Linked DNA regions of Sus scrofa. The protein of the gene in region 3 interacts with the protein of the main gene of each other region in a pairwise test. Links are inferred from orthologs where the notes say so. Each region holds a gene or a part of one and is shown on either strand. Other genes may lie near its edges. The genes, in order: STK4, MYLIP and RASSF5.

Evidence for each region.
Region 1: the proteins of RASSF5 (region 3) and STK4 interact in binary tests that used the Homo sapiens proteins (3 or more experiments, as listed by UniProt). The link is inferred for Sus scrofa from reciprocal best matches to the Homo sapiens genes RASSF5 and STK4.
Region 2: the proteins of RASSF5 (region 3) and MYLIP interact in binary tests that used the Homo sapiens proteins (3 or more experiments, as listed by UniProt). The two-hybrid records come from large-scale screens. The link is inferred for Sus scrofa from reciprocal best matches to the Homo sapiens genes RASSF5 and MYLIP.

Annotation. Positions count from the first base shown.
Region 1 is NC_010459.5:47,410,440-47,415,971, reverse strand, and holds part of STK4 (serine/threonine-protein kinase 4), read right to left. Parts: intron 4,078-5,532; coding exon 3,940-4,077; intron 1,342-3,939; coding exon 1,213-1,341; intron 450-1,212; coding exon 263-449; intron 1-262. UniProt on the Homo sapiens protein: Stress-activated, pro-apoptotic kinase which, following caspase-cleavage, enters the nucleus and induces chromatin condensation followed by internucleosomal DNA fragmentation.
Region 2 is NC_010449.5:12,129,544-12,135,075, forward strand, and holds part of MYLIP (E3 ubiquitin-protein ligase MYLIP), read left to right. Parts: intron 1-1,299; coding exon 1,300-1,485; intron 1,486-2,965; coding exon 2,966-3,163; intron 3,164-3,926; coding exon 3,927-4,091; intron 4,092-5,038; coding exon 5,039-5,532. UniProt on the Homo sapiens protein: E3 ubiquitin-protein ligase that mediates ubiquitination and subsequent proteasomal degradation of myosin regulatory light chain (MRLC), LDLR, VLDLR and LRP8. Activity depends on E2 enzymes of the UBE2D family.
Region 3 is NC_010451.4:67,179,731-67,185,262, forward strand, and holds part of RASSF5 (ras association domain-containing protein 5), read left to right. Parts: intron 1-4,033; coding exon 4,034-4,155; intron 4,156-5,532. UniProt on the Homo sapiens protein: Potential tumor suppressor. Seems to be involved in lymphocyte adhesion by linking RAP1A activation upon T-cell receptor or chemokine stimulation to integrin activation.

The DNA.
Region 1 (5,532 bases), on a different chromosome or scaffold from region 3:
GAAAGAAAAAAATGCTAAGAGAATGGTCATGCAGGTCGGAAAGTCGATCCCTTCCTGTCGCCTGCCGACCTCTGACTCCACGTGCCAGCTTCCTCCCTCCCAGACCCTCCGCTGCGCCCCAACCTTCCAATGCTCTCTCACTCCTTTGGTTGTGGCAACAGAAAGGAGCTTCAGGACTGAGTCCGTGTGGACCACAGAACCTGCTTTCCCTGGATCGTGCGCGGCCTGCCTGCCAAGTTGGTCTAGTTAGTCAGAGCCTTACTTTTCATAGTGCCTTCCTCTTCCTCCTCCTCCGCATTGATCACCATGGTGCCCAGCTGGGACGGCAACGTGTCGTCGTGCTCGATCATGGTATTGGCTCCGTCACTCATGGTGCTGGCCACGCGGACGGTGCCCATCTCGTCCCCGGCGGCTCGGACCATCGTGCCAGAATCCATTTCATCCTCCTCCTGGAAGAGGATGAAATCTCAGATGAGGGCTAATTTGATCAAAATCTTACAGGGTTTCTGAATTACTCTTATTCATCCTGGTGCAAATATTTCTGATGTGACACTTAGATTCTAAACCCACCACGAAGAACCGAGAGCACTCTTTTTTTTTTTTTTCACACTGAACTATGGTTGATGTACGACACTCTATGTGTTACAAGTGTACAATACATGGATTCACAATTTTCACGAGTTAGACTCCATTGAGAGTACTCTTAACCAAAGAAGATCATAATTTATCCACATGAGAGCTGCACATCCAACCCTAAAGGGCCCTCTCCCTCTCCCCTTCCCTCTCCTTCTTAGTAACATGTTGTAACATTGACCCAAGGAGCTGAGTGCATACTCTTGGGATCTCAAGGGTGTGGGGGAGTCTCTAAGTGTAAAAATCTACCTATTCAGTATGGCTCCCAGATTCTCCAAATGGGTAAGGAAAACTCAGACTCAGCCCTGAGCATTCTCTCTCCTGAATAAAAAGTTAAACTGAAGAAAAGATATGAAGGCAAAAGAATAAAATGTGGAAGTGCCTCAGGAAGCGCTGTGAGAAGAACAAGCACAGATCCAGCAAGCCTCCAGCAAGCCCTGGTCCCGGACTGGACAGAGTCACTTGAAAAGAGTCTCCAGCTCCAGGTGGATCCTACATCCCCAACTCATCTCGCCTGGCCGGTAGTCATGAAATAACAAGCATGAATGCCCGAGGCCCACCACACTGCCTGCCACTCACTGAGTTTTCTTCATCGTCCTGGTCCACCTCCCGCTGCTGGGCTTCCTGGCGTTTCAGCTTCACGTCCATGGCTTCGTTAATTAAGTCCCGCAGTATGGACACTCCTTTGGCACTCTTGACAAATGGGTGCTTCAATAAGAAAGTGGAAGATGGTTTATATGGTAGAGTGCCAAACACTGCCTGGCACACAGCAGGTACTTGATGATTTCTGTTCAATCGGCCAGTGAATCTGTTTCTCTTTATGGTTTGGACATCAGCTAACTCATACTCGCTTTATAACTGAACAGATGCATTCATGCTTTACCCATCTTTTTTGGCTTGGCTAGAATGTTTCCTCCATTTCTCTGTGCAAACTCTAGGGATTCTCAGCAGGCTACTATCGCCCCCTAGAGGAAGTTCTGTAAACATGCTGGGAGCTTGTTTGGAGAACACAAACTACATGGAAGTGGGACAGGGGGCAGGGACACAAGCGATCCTGTGAAGTGTGGAACAATCTTATACAGCATTGAACTGTAACACATTCTGTACATCTTTCAAATGTGTCAGAGAACATATATACACTTTGATAAATAATACTGAAAAATTTTGGGGTGGTTTTGGAGGGGGGGCTTCAATGGAATAGAGACATTGTTTAGAAATCGCTGAATAGTTTACTCATCCTGTTTATTCTTTCTAGTCAATGTACTATAGAATTTCCAACTACGGATTTAGGTAAAAAGGATTTTAGTGCCGAAATGCAGTTCCTACAGAAATACTAAAACTGGTAACAAATATGTAACAGATGTAGGTCCAATATTATTCAATCTGCAAAGATGCTTGTGAATACTGCTGACTTTCATTTATAGAAATGGCTTAAAGTTTTTAATATTAATACCATCTTACGTTTGTATTACTGCCTTTTGTGACACAAATGATAAGAAATCTATGCTATGAAAGTTATGTCTGGAAATTTGGGGGGGGGGTTGCCTGCTGTTTTCCACACTTATTCTGACATTTGTCCCCAGTGTTCCTCTTTGCAATCACCACCCACCAGAGAATATGATTTCCAAGGTCTTTGCAAGTACTCTAGATATGTACAATAGCCTCACCATGTGGTGGGATAGAAATACAGGAGATATCTTTTCCATAAAACTGCATTAGCACCCCAGCCAGGTAGGAAAAGAATTCATCACTACTCTCAGAAATAAGACGCAGCTCATTTGCAAGAATATCAAATTTCCTTGTTCTCTCTACTGAGAAAGTCTTTAAGATCATTTCTCTACCTTATATATAAATGAGTCTGCTCTGCTATTACTTGACATTACAATTATGTTAGTGTCCCCTCCACTCATTTTCCTGGGTTTCTTGAAGGAAATGCTTTCTGTTCTCTCTGCTCTTCAATCTAAACTCATTTGTGATGCTAGGTACAGGTGTCTAATTACTTTATTATGTCTATAAGTTGAAAAGCTGGAGCATTTCTATATGGACACATATTTTATTATAAATTATTATCCTTATATTTCTCCATCACATCACAGGCATTACACTGATTCTTTTTAAATTATGGGTATAAGTAGATTTTATCATCTATGAGTTTCATGCCGGAAAGGTAAGGAATGTTTAAATAAAATGTATTGGTTGTAAAAAGGGGGCACTGGGTCTGATGTGACTGAAAACCATTATTGGGCATGGCCTGACACAACAGCAGATATTCATCAAATCCGTAATATACTGTATCTCCGATATGTGTAAAGAACTATTCGAAGTTACACATATGATATCACTTAATCCTAACATATGGAACAGGTACTTTACCTCTACTGTATAGACAGAGAGGTGCGGTTCCTCACTCAACGTCATAAAGCCAGTACGTAGAGAGCCAGGACTCCAACTTGGGCAACTGGGCTCCAGAATCCAAGCTCCTAACCACGAAGGATGCTGCCCGCCAAATCCCACCCATTCTTCAAAGCCCAAGCACAGAGGTCACCTCCTCCAGGAAAGCATTCCTCCGTATTTCCAGTCCAAAGTGGCCTCTTCCCACCCTGAGTTACAGCAGCACCTACCATTAATCCCAGTTCTTTGTCAGAATTGGGGACACTGAATCACTCCTGCTTTGGAATCAAAGAGACTACTTAGGTCCCATCCTGGCTCTGCTGTCTACCAGCTGAGTGGCTCTAAATGATTAACCTCTCCAAACCTCCATTTTCTCACCTATAAAAATAAATAATACCTATCTCTCACAGCGTGTATGTGATGATTAAATGGCATAATGTGGGAGTTCCCTGGTGGTCTAGTGATTAGGATTCAGTGCTTTCATCTCTGAGTGCTTTCATCTTCAGTAGCTCCATCCCTGGTCTGGGAACTGAGATCCTATGTCAAGCCACTGCAGCCATGGCCAAAAATTAATGAATTAATTAAAAATTAATCAATGGCATAACATGCAAAGTATGCACACAGTAGGTGCTCAATAAATGTCAATTAAAATTAATGGCACAACGTGCAAAATAGCACACAGTAGGTGCTCAATAAATGTCAATTCCTGCTTTCTAATTCCCACAGAGCACTGTATTTTCTTGCATTATTGTCTTGTTCAATGATCTCCCATTCTTTTCTATATCTTTTCTAAGCATTCACATTTAAACCTGCCTAGAGGCAGGGAATATCTTATACCATCTCCATGTAGGTGGGTTAACAGCATCTTTTGGTCAGCCTGTGAGTGAAACCGCTGCACCCCAGGCTGATTCCTACCTGGAGGAGTTGAGTGGCCGTGGCTCTCTGCTCAGGGCTCTTTACAAGACACTGCTTCACAAAATCCATGAAGCTATCTGACCACAGTTCTGGCTTTCGGAATGTGGGAGGTGGGTTGGTAGGAATCATGAAGATTGCCTAAAGAAAAAAAAAAAAAAAAAAAAAAAAAAAAAAGATTTGGCAAAGTGAAAGTGATGCTCCAATAAAAATATGACTAGAAATACATTGGAAGTTTGATGAAATGGTTTTTCTCTTCCCCACTATAAGCCCCCAAATTGCAATGAAAGTCTGAGTATCTCAAAGAAGGAAGTTATGACAATTAGAGAAGCTGATAGAGCTCTCCTTCCCCCTCTTCCTCCCTCTGATTTCCCTCTCTCTCTCTCCCTCTTTCATCTGTACTCTCGTCCCATAAACCTCACGATATCCAGCAAGCTTTTTGGGGGTTTTGCTGACCAAAGTACACTGCCACTCAAAGTGAAAAGGCAAGACCAAACATCAACATCTTGAAGAGAACCCCAGCCCTGTAGCTGTCAAGTTTCCCTCTTCCCTAAAAGTTACCACCACCCCTGGATATAATAAGTGACTGCAGAGTTCCCGTTGTGGCACAGCAGAAACAAATCCAGCTAGGAACCATGAGGTTGCAGGTTCGATCCCTGGCCTCCCTCAGTGGGTTAAGGATCCGAGGTTGCCGTGAGCTGTGGTCTAGGTCGAAGACACGGCTCGGGATTCCGCATTGCTGTGGCTGTGACATAGGCCAGAAGCTACAGCTCCGATTTAACCCCTAGCCTGGGAACCTCCAGAAGCCGTGTGTGCGGCCCTAAAAAGCAGAGAAAAAAAAAAGTGACTGAAAGGAGGTCATAAACCTAGAAGTCCCCCAAATCACAAGAGAGTCATCAGCCTCCAAGCCACATTAATTCTACATACTTGAAAAAAAATTGGCCTACTACATGGCAATTAAATTCTACTATTTCCAAAAAAAATAAAACTATAGGAAATACTGTAGGTTCAGTTCCAGACTGCTGCAATAGAGCAAATCACATGATTTTTTCGGTTTCCCAGTGCATATAACAGTTATGCTTCCCCTATACTGTAGTCTATTAAGTGTGCAATAGTTTTATGTCTAAAGAAACAATGTATATACCTGCATTAAAAAAAATAATGTATTGCTAAAAATGCTAACCATCATCTGAGCCTTCAGTGAGTTATGATCTTTTTTTGAAATAGTAACGTCAAAGATCACTGATACCATATCAAATATATCAGCAATGGAAAAGTTTGAAATATTGCGAGATTTACCAAAATGTTGACTAGAGACGTTAAGTGAGCAAATGCTGTTGGAAAAATGGCACCAACAGACTTCTTGATGCAGGGTTGCCACAAACCTTCAATTGTTAAAAGCAATAAAGCAAAGTGCAATAAAACGAGGTATGCCTATATTATTTATCGTGTTTCCAATAAAAGAAGTACAGTTTCTAGAAAAAATAAAACTCTGCAATAAGCAGCTTACATTATATTCATTCAATCTAAAAATATAACCAGTAAATCTTCCCATCCTTCTCCACTTCTGCCCCCTACAAAGACGGAGCTTATCTT
Region 2 (5,532 bases), on a different chromosome or scaffold from region 3:
AGGGTATCTAAATTGAGGGGGCAGAAAGAGTGGCCTTCAGGACAGAGAAAATAGCAAGAACAGAGACGTGGGGGTGCGAACATGCTCGGTGTTTCCAGGAAGAGGAATTGTCCCTTTCCTGGGGTACATAGTGGCTGGAAGGAATGACAGGAGATGTGGCTGGAAATCTGGGGCCGGATGTGGAGAAGCCAAAGTTCATGTTGACACTGTGCTTTCCAGGCAAACAGTGGGGATTCTTTGAATGGCTCTGAGCAGAGAAATGATAGGTTTGTGCCTGAAGCAAGCAGCCGGGAAGATGGATTAGCACAGAGTCCAGAAGGGAGATCAGCTTAAAGGATATTGTAAATTCTGACAGTTGAGAGCTGCAAGTAGGACAAAGGATGTGAAAAAATGGGAAAAATGAACTGGATTTAAAGAGTTTTCAGAGACAGAAAGAAGGTAGAGAAGTAAGATGAAGAGTCAGAAGTGAGTCCGTGCGTGGTAAAAATGACGAGTCAGTCTCTGGTTTCCATTGGGAGAAAACGTAGGTTTGAGAAGGAAGACAGTTTGGTTTTGAACGAGGTGAAATTTGGGTACTGAAGAAGATCCAGTGGAGAAATCTGTAAGCACTTGGACATTTGAATATGATCCTTAGGAGAAAGTGAGCCTTAAAACTAGTGAGTTGAGGAGTTCCTGTCATGGCTCAGTGGTTAACGAATCCGACCAGGAACCATGGGGTTGCGGGTTCAATCCCTGACCTCATTCAGTGGGTTGAGGATCCTGCTTTGCTGTGGCTGAGGTGTAGGCCGGCAGCTACAGCTCTGATTCGACCCCTAGCCTGTGAACCTCCATGTGCCGCAGGTGTGGCCCTAAAAAAGACAAAAAACAAACAAACAAAACAAAACAAAAAAAAGCAACCTGGAGAGTTGAGGGTCATTTGAATAAAGGATCTTAAGAGATCAATTCCACATCAAGATAAAGTTTTTCTGATTAAGATAATTTCTTTGAAAAAGTATAATGAAGCAAACATCATGTATATAATTATTTTACATTTTGTAACTTGACTGTTAACTGAACTTGTCTTAGATTTGTGTTGTTCGGGTTAAATTTTTTATTCCAGAGAAACTTAATCCTTATACTTATTTTCTGCCTTAATACTCAGGATTTATTGAAAAACTCTTTAATGGTAAGCATTTTCAAGGTAGCTTTCTTCCTGGTTCTGCTTTCCTTACTCGAAAGGGATTAGGAAATGGCTAAGCAGGTTAAGTCTGACACCAGGTGAGTCCCCCAGCATAACCCCATTCTTGTGTTGCTTTGCAGGCATATCTTTTTCTTGCACATCAAGGAGGCCCTCCTGGCAGGCCACCTCCAGTGTTCCCCAGAGCAGGCAGTGGAACTCAGTGCTCTCTTGGCCCAGACCAAGTTTGGGGACTACAACCAGAACACGGCCAAGTACAGCTATGAGGAACTGTGTGCCAAGGAGCTCTCCAGTGCCACCTTGAACAGGTGAGGCTGCAGTTCAGGCTCGTGTTTATCATCATATATCTAGAAAACTTATAAGAATTTCCAGGAAAAAATAAAACTATGGTAGATGAAGATAGTTTGTGAGGTTGAGACTAGACCATTGCCCAGTATAACGAGCTGTTTTCAAAGTGTTCTTAGCCTTTTTGGGGGGGAGACTTAAAAACACAAATAAATGCCTTTATATGAAATGCTATATAAAAGGAATTCTAAAAATCTCTGACCTTTGAAGAATCTCTTAAAAAGTCTATCACGTAGGGAGTTCCCATCCTGGCTCAGTGCTAACGAACCAACTATTATCCATGAGGATGCGGGTTCAATCCCTGGCCTCACTCAGTGGGTTAAGGATCTGGCATTGCTGTGAGCTGCAGTGTAAGTCATAGACATGGCTCAGATTCCGAGTTGCTATGGCTGTGGTGTAGGCCAGCAGCTGCAGCTCCGATTCCATTTGACCCTGTAGCCTGGGAACTTCCATATGCCAGAGGTGTGGCCCTAACAAGCAAAAAAAAGTCTATCATGTGTGTTGGTATTTTCTTTATTGAACCAAGGTTTAAACCAAGAGACCTAACATAGGTGTCTTGCTTCTATTCTTGGGTAACAATTTACCCCCAAAACTTAATACCTCAAAACAACAAACATCATCCCACAGTTCTTTGTGTCAGGGATCTGACCACAGGCTGGGTTCTCTGGTTCCAGGTCTCTCAGGAGGCTGCAGTCAGTACCGGTGGGGTTCAGTCTCATCTGAAGGCTTAACTGAGAGAGGGATCTGCTTCCATTTCAGCTCAGGTAGCTTGTTAGTTGGCCTGTGCTCTCACCACAGGGGCCTCTCCAGGGTTCCGGTTGGCTTCCCCTAGGACAGGGAATCCAAGTCAGAGCAAATACCCAAGACAGAGTCAAAGACTCTATAACTTAATCTCATCCCATCACTTCTGCCCTGTTGTGCTCTTTAGAAGCAAGTCATTAATCCACCCCGCATTCAAGTGAAGGAAATTACACGAAGGTATGGACACAGGAGGTGGAGATCTTTAAGGACTATATTAGGGACTCTCCACTCCAATAGATACAGTGAATCCTGCATGTTTCAGTTGCAAATGATCTGATCAATCCCATAAAATGCTATAGAGTAATGAAACTTAGAAAGTAAATGTAAACAAATGCATGAGACCTTCCTACCTATAAATTTCTTATGTATATGTTTACAGATTTTCCATAATTCTTTCAAGTCACCCCCAGTAGTTTTTTTCTCCTAAATATTTAGTAGTTGAAATCTTGAACAGTGTCTTAGAAGTACTTTACAATAAGCTTGCTAAATAGATGGAACATCAAAAGTATATAGCTGTAAGTTTTTGTGATTCATAAATGACAGGGTGAGTATAATTCACTAAGTGAAAATGATGCAGATTTCTCTCCAGACTATATCAGTTAATCTGTCTGTACATCTCTCTGCCCTCTTGGTGTCTTGTAGCATCGTGGCAAAGCATAAAGAGTTGGAGGGGACCAGCCAGGCTTCGGCTGAATACCAAGTTTTGCAGATTGTATCAGCGATGGAAAACTATGGCATAGAATGGCATTCCGTGAGGGACAGCGAAGGGCAGAAACTCCTCATTGGGGTTGGACCTGAAGGAATCTCAATTTGTAAAGACGACTTTTGCCCCATTAACAGGTAACCCAAGACTGAAAAAAATTTTTTTTTGTGTGTGTGTTTTTGTCTTTTCTAGGGCTGCTCCTGTGGCATATGGAGGTTCCCAGGCTGGGGGTCTAATCGGAGCTGTAGCCACCAGCCTACACCACAGCCACAGCAACTCAGGATCAAAGCCACGTCTGCAACCTACACCACAACTCACGGCAACGCCAGATCCTTAACCCACTGAGCGAGGCTAGGGATCGAACCCACAACCTCATGGTTCCTAGTTGGATTCGTTAACCACTGAGCCGTGACAGGAACTCCAAGACTGAAATTTTGTTTCGACCTAAGTGTGTAGACTGTCGTAACTCTGATCATGCAAACAGGAAATGGAGAGGGATTTGCTAGACAGTCGTCCTTTAGGAATAACATGTTTCATTTTTGGTAGGTTCATTAATTTTATTGAGGCCTTGATAACCATTCAATTTTTTTTTTTTTAAATATAAGTTCAAGTGTAGGGATGTGGCAAAGCTACTATTTTTCAAATAAGTCATTTGTGGCTATAAATAGCTCATTTCACCTACACCCCCCCTCCAAAACTCGCTCCAGCAGCCTCTCCACTTCCCCCCTGCTGCTTGTCAGCAAGAATCAATGACTGGGAGCAGCGCTTCTATGATGGTCTCCGGCCCCGCATCAGATGGAACGGCGATCTGAAGCCGTGAGGGCCCTGCAGAGGGGCGCATGAAGCGTGGTCCCCTGGCCCCACCCCTGGCTCGCTCACTTTCCTCTTCCCGCCTTTCAGGATCGCTTACCCTGTGGTGCAGATGGCGACTCAGTCGGGAAAGAATGTGTACCTGACCGTCACCAAGGAGTCTGGGAACAGCATCGTGCTCTTGTTTAAGATGATCAGCACCAGGGCAGCCAGCGGGCTGTACCGAGCCATCACCGAGACGCACGCTTTTTACAGGCACGTACCCCTGTTCACCCTGTAGCCCCAGTGTCTGCCCATAGCACTCGGGTTTCCAGGTGAGGGCGAGGCACCTTCAGTTCCTGGTACCGTTGTGTCCATGAACCTTGTACAGAATTTAAGAAGTCAGCTCTTTTTGGACCCTTCGTTTCTGCCCTAGCAGTTGGGTCTTTCTCATAATCACCCTGCTTCTCAGGACATGTATGCGCGCGTGCGTGCGTGCCTGCGTGCGTGTGTGTGTGTGTACACTTGCCTGCACAGACACATTTCACTCTTAGCTCATTCCTCACAGCTCCCCCTCCCCAAGGGAACTTGAGTGTATGGGCCTGTTGAGCTTCAGCTTTGCCCTCTCCCCACAGGATATCCCCAAGTCACCTTTCCTTCCTGAGAGAGCTTGCTGGGCCAGCAGACGCTCGCCCTCTAAGTGGATTGGAAGGGTCTCTCTGTAACTATATTGATACCCTCATTTCTGAGGGTGCTTTAAAGTAGAGTTGTGATTTGACTCAAATGTTAGCACAATTAAAAGCTAAGATATTTAATTGGCAGGCAACCCAAGCCCTTTATTTATGTTAAAAGAGACACAGTGTGGAGCAGGATGGAAAATGTGTAGAAAAATTTTAACACAAATCCAGGACTTCAAAGAAAAATGTCCTTGTTCTTGCCATAAGCTGCTTTGCACTGTAGCTCCTATCCCTGGAGATGGAGATGCTCTCTGGGTTTACAGCTCCCTGATCAGAGGTCCTTGTACTGGGGACTCTGGAGGAGCATAGAGGTGGGATTATTCCGATACTTAAGACGTAAAACTGGAAGAATTTACTTGCAAGCACCCAAACAGGCATATTAAACGCTGACACAAATGTTCTCGTTCTCAGCAGCATTTAAGGCCTGGATCGCAGGGCTGCCCAGGCCTGTCAGTACTGAGGTGGGTGTTCCATCTCTGTCCGCAGGTGCGACACAGTGACCAGTGCCGTCATGATGCAGTACAGCCGAGACCTGAAGGGCCACCTGGCTTCTCTGTTTCTGAACGAAAACATTAACCTGGGCAAGAAGTATGTCTTCGATATTAAAAGAACCTCAAAGGAGGTATATGACCACGCCAGGAGGGCTCTGTACAACGCAGGCGTGATGGACCTCTTACCAAGAAGCGACCACAGCCCCCCGAGTTCTCCCCTAAAGTCCTCCGAGAGCAGCATGAACTGCAGCAGCTGCGAGGGCCTCAGCTGCCAGCAGACGCGGGCCCTCCAGGAGGAGCTGCGCAAGCTGAAGGAGGCCATGCTCTGCATGCTGTGCTGTGAGGGCGAGATCAACTCGGCCTTCTGCCCCTGCGGCCACACTGTGTGCTGCGAGGGCTGCGCCACCCAGCTCCAGGTGAGGGGCTCCCCGGGCTCCAGGGGAGGGCTCAGCTGGCCGCCACAGACCAGGTGCTGGCTTGAGGGACACC
Region 3 (5,532 bases):
GACCTTCCTAGATCTGGGCCCTGCTCTGGGCTTCCTCTCTTGATAGTTACCTTTTCACCTGTGAGTCCTGTTGGTCCAGCCCACCGGGCTCCCCCTGGGACCCTGTCTCATTCATCCTCACCCTCAGGAGAGCACGGGGCACGGGAAAGTCCGTGCTCAAGACACCAACGTTGTTGCCAAAGATGAGGTGCTGGCTGTCCAGGGGAGGCTGAGCCCCATGCCACCCAAGTCCCTGTCTCTGTCCTCATCCAGACTGAGCACCAGCTGAGGGCCATGCGGGACATGATGGGACCAAGGACACGGGTGGGCTTGGCAGCACCTCAAGAGGAGCTATCTTGTGGGAAAGATGGCCCGTGCAGGTTCAAGCACTGAGTCCCAGTGGAATGCGACCCTGACCTGGGACTCTCACAGGTGTCCCCACTCAGGGCACGTGAGGCGGGGCCTGCCTCTGTGTGCAGAGCAGGGCATGGGGACTCTGACTTCATCTTGGCTGGCCTAAAAGCCCGGGGCTTAGTTAGCATTTCTAGGGGCCAGGAAATATCAAGCCATGCTTCCGTGGTTTTGCGACAGTCTGTGATTACACGGTCAGATGGGACAGACCCACTAGTGCTCAAATGTGCTTTTTATACAATCCCGAAGCACCCCTCTTGGAGTCTTCTGGGTCCTAACTCTGTCCAGCTCAGCATCAGACCTGTTTAAAAAAACAAATACAAAAACAACAACAAAAAAATCTCCCAAGGGTTTTGGTGCTGTTTTCAGAATATGTGTGTGTGTATGTCTGTGTGTGTGAGAGCGAGATAGACAGACAGACATGGAGAGATTCAGTTGCACAGATGGACACAGACCGCCTGCTGACATGGAATTGAAAGAGGAGACAGGAGAACTTTCTCCTCTCCCCAGACACTCTCCCCTTTGGCAGCTGGTGGCAGCTCTCACTCCTGCTTCCCACTTGGCATCCGCAGAGCATTCTTCATCGCTCAGAGCGTGGCCAGGAGCTGCACAGGTGTGTCCCGGAGTGGAGCCGGGAACAATGCTGCCCTGTGTGGGTTCTGGCCTTGGCGCTCCCTTATCAAAGCCCTGGCATTTCTGGGCACTGTGGGCAGGGAGACTTGGCCTGCACAACCCCCCGTGCCCTTCACCCGGTGCCTGGGTCTCCTGCTGGGGGCCCAGGAATGCGAGTGGCTGCTGGCAGGGGTGCGGTCCTCCACCCACCCCATCTCCAGTGGGAGCACAGCTTCTCGGGAGAAGAATCAGGAAGTCTAGGCAAGGTTGGGGTCTGAAGGAGGGGATGTCAGTGGACTTGACCTGCAGGCACAGGGGAGGTGAGCGGTAGGGCTTCTAAATGCCACCCTAGGAAGGTGGTCAGGACTTCAGACCATTGAGTCAGAGGGTTGCTGGGTTCTGGGATCCCTTCCTGTCCCTGCATTGGCCAGGCGCTCCCCTGAAAGTATTAAGATCAAGAAATGTGAGCCGGGTGCTCATCCTTGGGGAGGTAAGAAAGGGGGCAGCTGGGGAAAGTGGGGTTCTCCTTCCAAAACGCTCCAAAAGAGTGGGGAGACCCACCCACTGCCACCCTAAGAAAGACTGTGCTACAGCAGCTTTAAAAAGATGATCCAGGGAGTTCCTGTTGTGGTGTAGCAAAAACAAATCCAACTAGTATCCATGAGGATGTGGGTTCGATCCCTGGCCTCGCTCAGTGGGTTAAGGATCTGGCGTTGCTGTGAGCTGTGGTGCAGGTCGCAGACAGCGCTTGAATCCCTTGTTGCTGTGGCTGTGGTGTAGGCCAGCAGCTGTAGCTCCGATTGGACCCCTAGCCTGGGAACCTCCATATGCCGCGGGAGCGGCCCTAAAAAACAAAAACAACAACAAAAAGAGGGTCCCCAGGTGCTGTGGTTCTGGAGCTTGTTAAAAGGAAGGAAAAGAGGGAGCTCCTTGGTGGCCTAACAGTTTGACCCCTGGAACTTCTACATGCGGCAGGTGTGGCCCAAAAAAAAAAAGGGGAGGGGGGAGTTCCCTTCATGGCTCAGTGGTTAACGAATCCGACTAGGAACCATGAGGTTGCAGGTTCGATCCCTGGCCTTGCTCAGTGGGTTAAGGATCTGGCATTGCTGTGGCTGTTGGTGTAGGCTGGCAGCTACAGCTCCGATTGGACTCCTAGCCTGGGAACCTCCATATGCCGCAGGAATGGCCCAAGAAATGGCAAAAAGACAAAAAAAAAAAAAAAAAAAAAGGAAGGAAAAGAGTGTCAGGAGACTGAGCCCAACATAAAGCTGTCCCTTCGTCCCCAGATTATCCAGACATGTCCAGGCTGTCTCCTGCCACAAGCCCTGCCCACCCCAGCCCACCCCTATGTACCGGGTGACACGGTCCAGCAACCTTCTCATTAAGACTCTGGCAGCCTCCCTCAGCAGGGCCTTCTGGCTGAGCTGTGGCACCTCCAGGGCTGGTGACCCTGATGGGCCCAGCAGCTTCTGTGGGAACCAACCTCCAGCCTGAGCCTTGTGCCTGCTGATGGGCTTGGACGGATTTCTTTCACTGCCAACCTTTTTTTCTCTCCCATCCTCCCTGCCTTCACCTGCCCCAACCTCCCGGCCTCCTGTCCCCTTCAACTTCACCTCCCTTCTGCCAAGGAGGCTTCAGAGAGGGCCCTTGGGGAAGCTGGAAACTGCTTGCAACCTTGGCTGTGCCACTGAGCCGTGTGTCATTGGGCACCGTGCTTTACCTCTCTGGGCCTCAGTTTCCCCATCTCTGAGGTAACCCCCCATGGTCTGCTGAACACTGGTCATTGTCTTACTTCCATGGATGTGAAACAAATGTGTGCTTTCCTCCAAAGCCTCATTTGGAATGTTGTCTGCAGGCCATGTCAGCCAAGTTAGAGGAGCCACCTCGCATTTCTAGATGGCACTGTGTCAGAGAGACGTGACAGCCCTTCCTGTTGGTGATCATGCCTTTGTCCCTGGAGAAACCTTTAATTTGTTGGGGTTCTTTTTGTTTTTTGGGTATTTTGTTTTGTTTTGTTTTTTGTCTTTTTAGAGCCTTACCTGTGGCATATGGAGGTTCCCAGGCTAGGGGTCTAATCGGAGCTATAGCTGCCAGCTTATGCCACAGCCACAGCAATGCAGGATCTGAGCCGCGTCTTCGACCTACACCACAGCTCATGGCACGCTGGATCTTTAACCCACTGAGAAAAGCCAGGGATCGAACCTGCAACCTCATGGTTCCTAGTCGGGTTCATTTCTGCTGCGCCACAACACAGGAACTCCCACCTTTAATTTGTTAAGACCCGTTCTCCTCTATAACTGTAATCATCCTTGTGCACCAGGCAGGGCCATTATTACCTGTTTTACAGCCTGCAAAACAAGGCCAGGAAAAGTTAAGTTCTTCCACAGGGATTGGGGCCTCTGATGATTAACATCAATTAGTAGAAAGAGCACCAGCCTGAAGCCAGATGATCTGCCCTTGAGAAAGTCACCCTAGGCCCCAGTTTCCTGTCGGCAAAGTGGCGGTAATCATGGTTGCAGGGTCACACACAATAATGGAGGTGGAAACAGTTTACATACTGGGAGCTCCCATTGTGGCTCAGAGGTCATGAACCCAACTCGTATCCATGAGGATGTAGGTTCAATCCTGGCCTTGCTCAGTGGGTTAAGGATCCGGCGTTGCCATGAGCTGTGGTGGAGATGGCAGATGTGACTTGGATCTGGAGTGGCTGTGGATGAGGCTGTGATGAAGGTCCACAGCTGCAGCTCTGATTTGACCCCTGGCCTGGGAACCTCCATGTGCTATGGGTACAGCCCTAAAAAGAAGAGGAAGACAAAAACAAAAAGGAGATTGCAAATTCTAAACAAAAACTAGATTGCAAACTGTAAAGCACCTATTCACCTTCCCTACTCATGGTAGTTCAGAGAGAGCGAGTCATTCTCATGGTGTTCTTCCCCCTCCACCGCCCTCCAGGAGCTACATGCCGCCTCCCAGGGCCTTTTTCTGGGCCTCCTGTCTGGCCCCTAATCCCTCTGCGGTTCTCTCCCTCCAGACTGCAAATTCACCTGCCACCCTGAGTGCCGCAGCCTGATCCAGCTGGACTGCAGTCAGCAGGAAGGCTCCTCCCAGGACAGACCCTCTCCAGAAAGCACCCTCACTGCAACCTTCAGCCAGGTAGGCGGGAGGGCTCGAGCTCCAGGTTGGCGACAGCCTCCTGAGGTGCCCCCAGGTTCCCCTGTCCCTCCCAGGGGCTCTGGGGAGCATGGGTGGCGAGAGTGTTCCATGTACGCTGGATGTTGGGGGTCCCCTTCTGGCCAGTTGGGGTCCATAGCACACTCTTCGAGTCTGCGCCCAGTTCCAATGTGGGGGGTTTCCCCACACCACCACCCTCTGACACCCAGTGGGTGCCCTGTAGTTCAGCTCAGTGCTGTACTCTGCACCCCCCACCCACCACCTCAGATACCAGTTGTAAGAGTATGTTGTCACCCATGCTTCGGACCAACAGGCTGTAGGTGGGAGGTTGCCACAGCTCTGTCTTTGGGCTCAATGCATTTGTTAGAGCAGCTCACAGAACTCAAAGAAACATTTGAAACTTACTAGATCGCCAGTTTATTATAAAAGGATATAACTCAGGAGCAACCAGATGGAAGAGATGCAGAGGGCCAGGTGGGGGAGGTGCACAAACTTTCATGTCCTCTCCAGAGGTGCCCTCCCTGCTCCTCCCCATGTTTCCCAACCCAGAAGCTCTCTGAGCCCCAAACTTCCAGGACCTTACAGAGGCTTCATTATACAGACATGATTGATCAAATTGTTGGCCATTGGCGATTGATCCACCCTCCGGCCTCTCTCTGTTCCCCAGAGGTCAGGGGCGTCCATCTGAAAGTTCTAATCCTCTCATACTTGGTTGGTTCTCCTGGCAACTAGCCTGCATCCTTAGGTGGGATCCAAAAGTCACCTCATGGAATTCCCATCTTGACTTAATGGTTAACGAACCAGAATAGTATCCATGAGGACGTGGGCTCAATCCCTTCCCTTGCTCAGTGGGCTAAGGATCTGGTGTTGCCATGAGTTACGGTGTGGGTTACAGATGTGGCTCGGATCCCACATTGCTGTGGCTGTGGTGTAGCTACAGTAGCTACAGCTCCAATTCAACCTCTAGCTGGGAACCTCCACATGCCATAGGTGCGGCCCTAAAAAGACAAAAGACAAAAAAAATTTAAAAATAAAACCGACAATTTTAATTTTAAAGAAGTCACCTCGGAATTCCTGTCATGGCTCAGTGGTTAACGAATCCAACTAGGAACCATGAGGTTGCAGGTTCGATCCCTGGCCTTGCTCAGTGGGTTAAGGATCTGGCGTTGCCATGAGCTGTGGTGTAGGTTGCAGACGCGGCTCGGATCCTGTGTTGCTGTGGCTCTGGCGTAGGCCGGCAGCTACAGCTCCGATTCAACCCCTAGCCTGGGAACCTCCATATGCCTCGGGAACAGCCCAAGAAATGGCAAAAAGACCAAAAAAAAAAAAAAAAAAAAAAGTCACCTCATTAACATCACA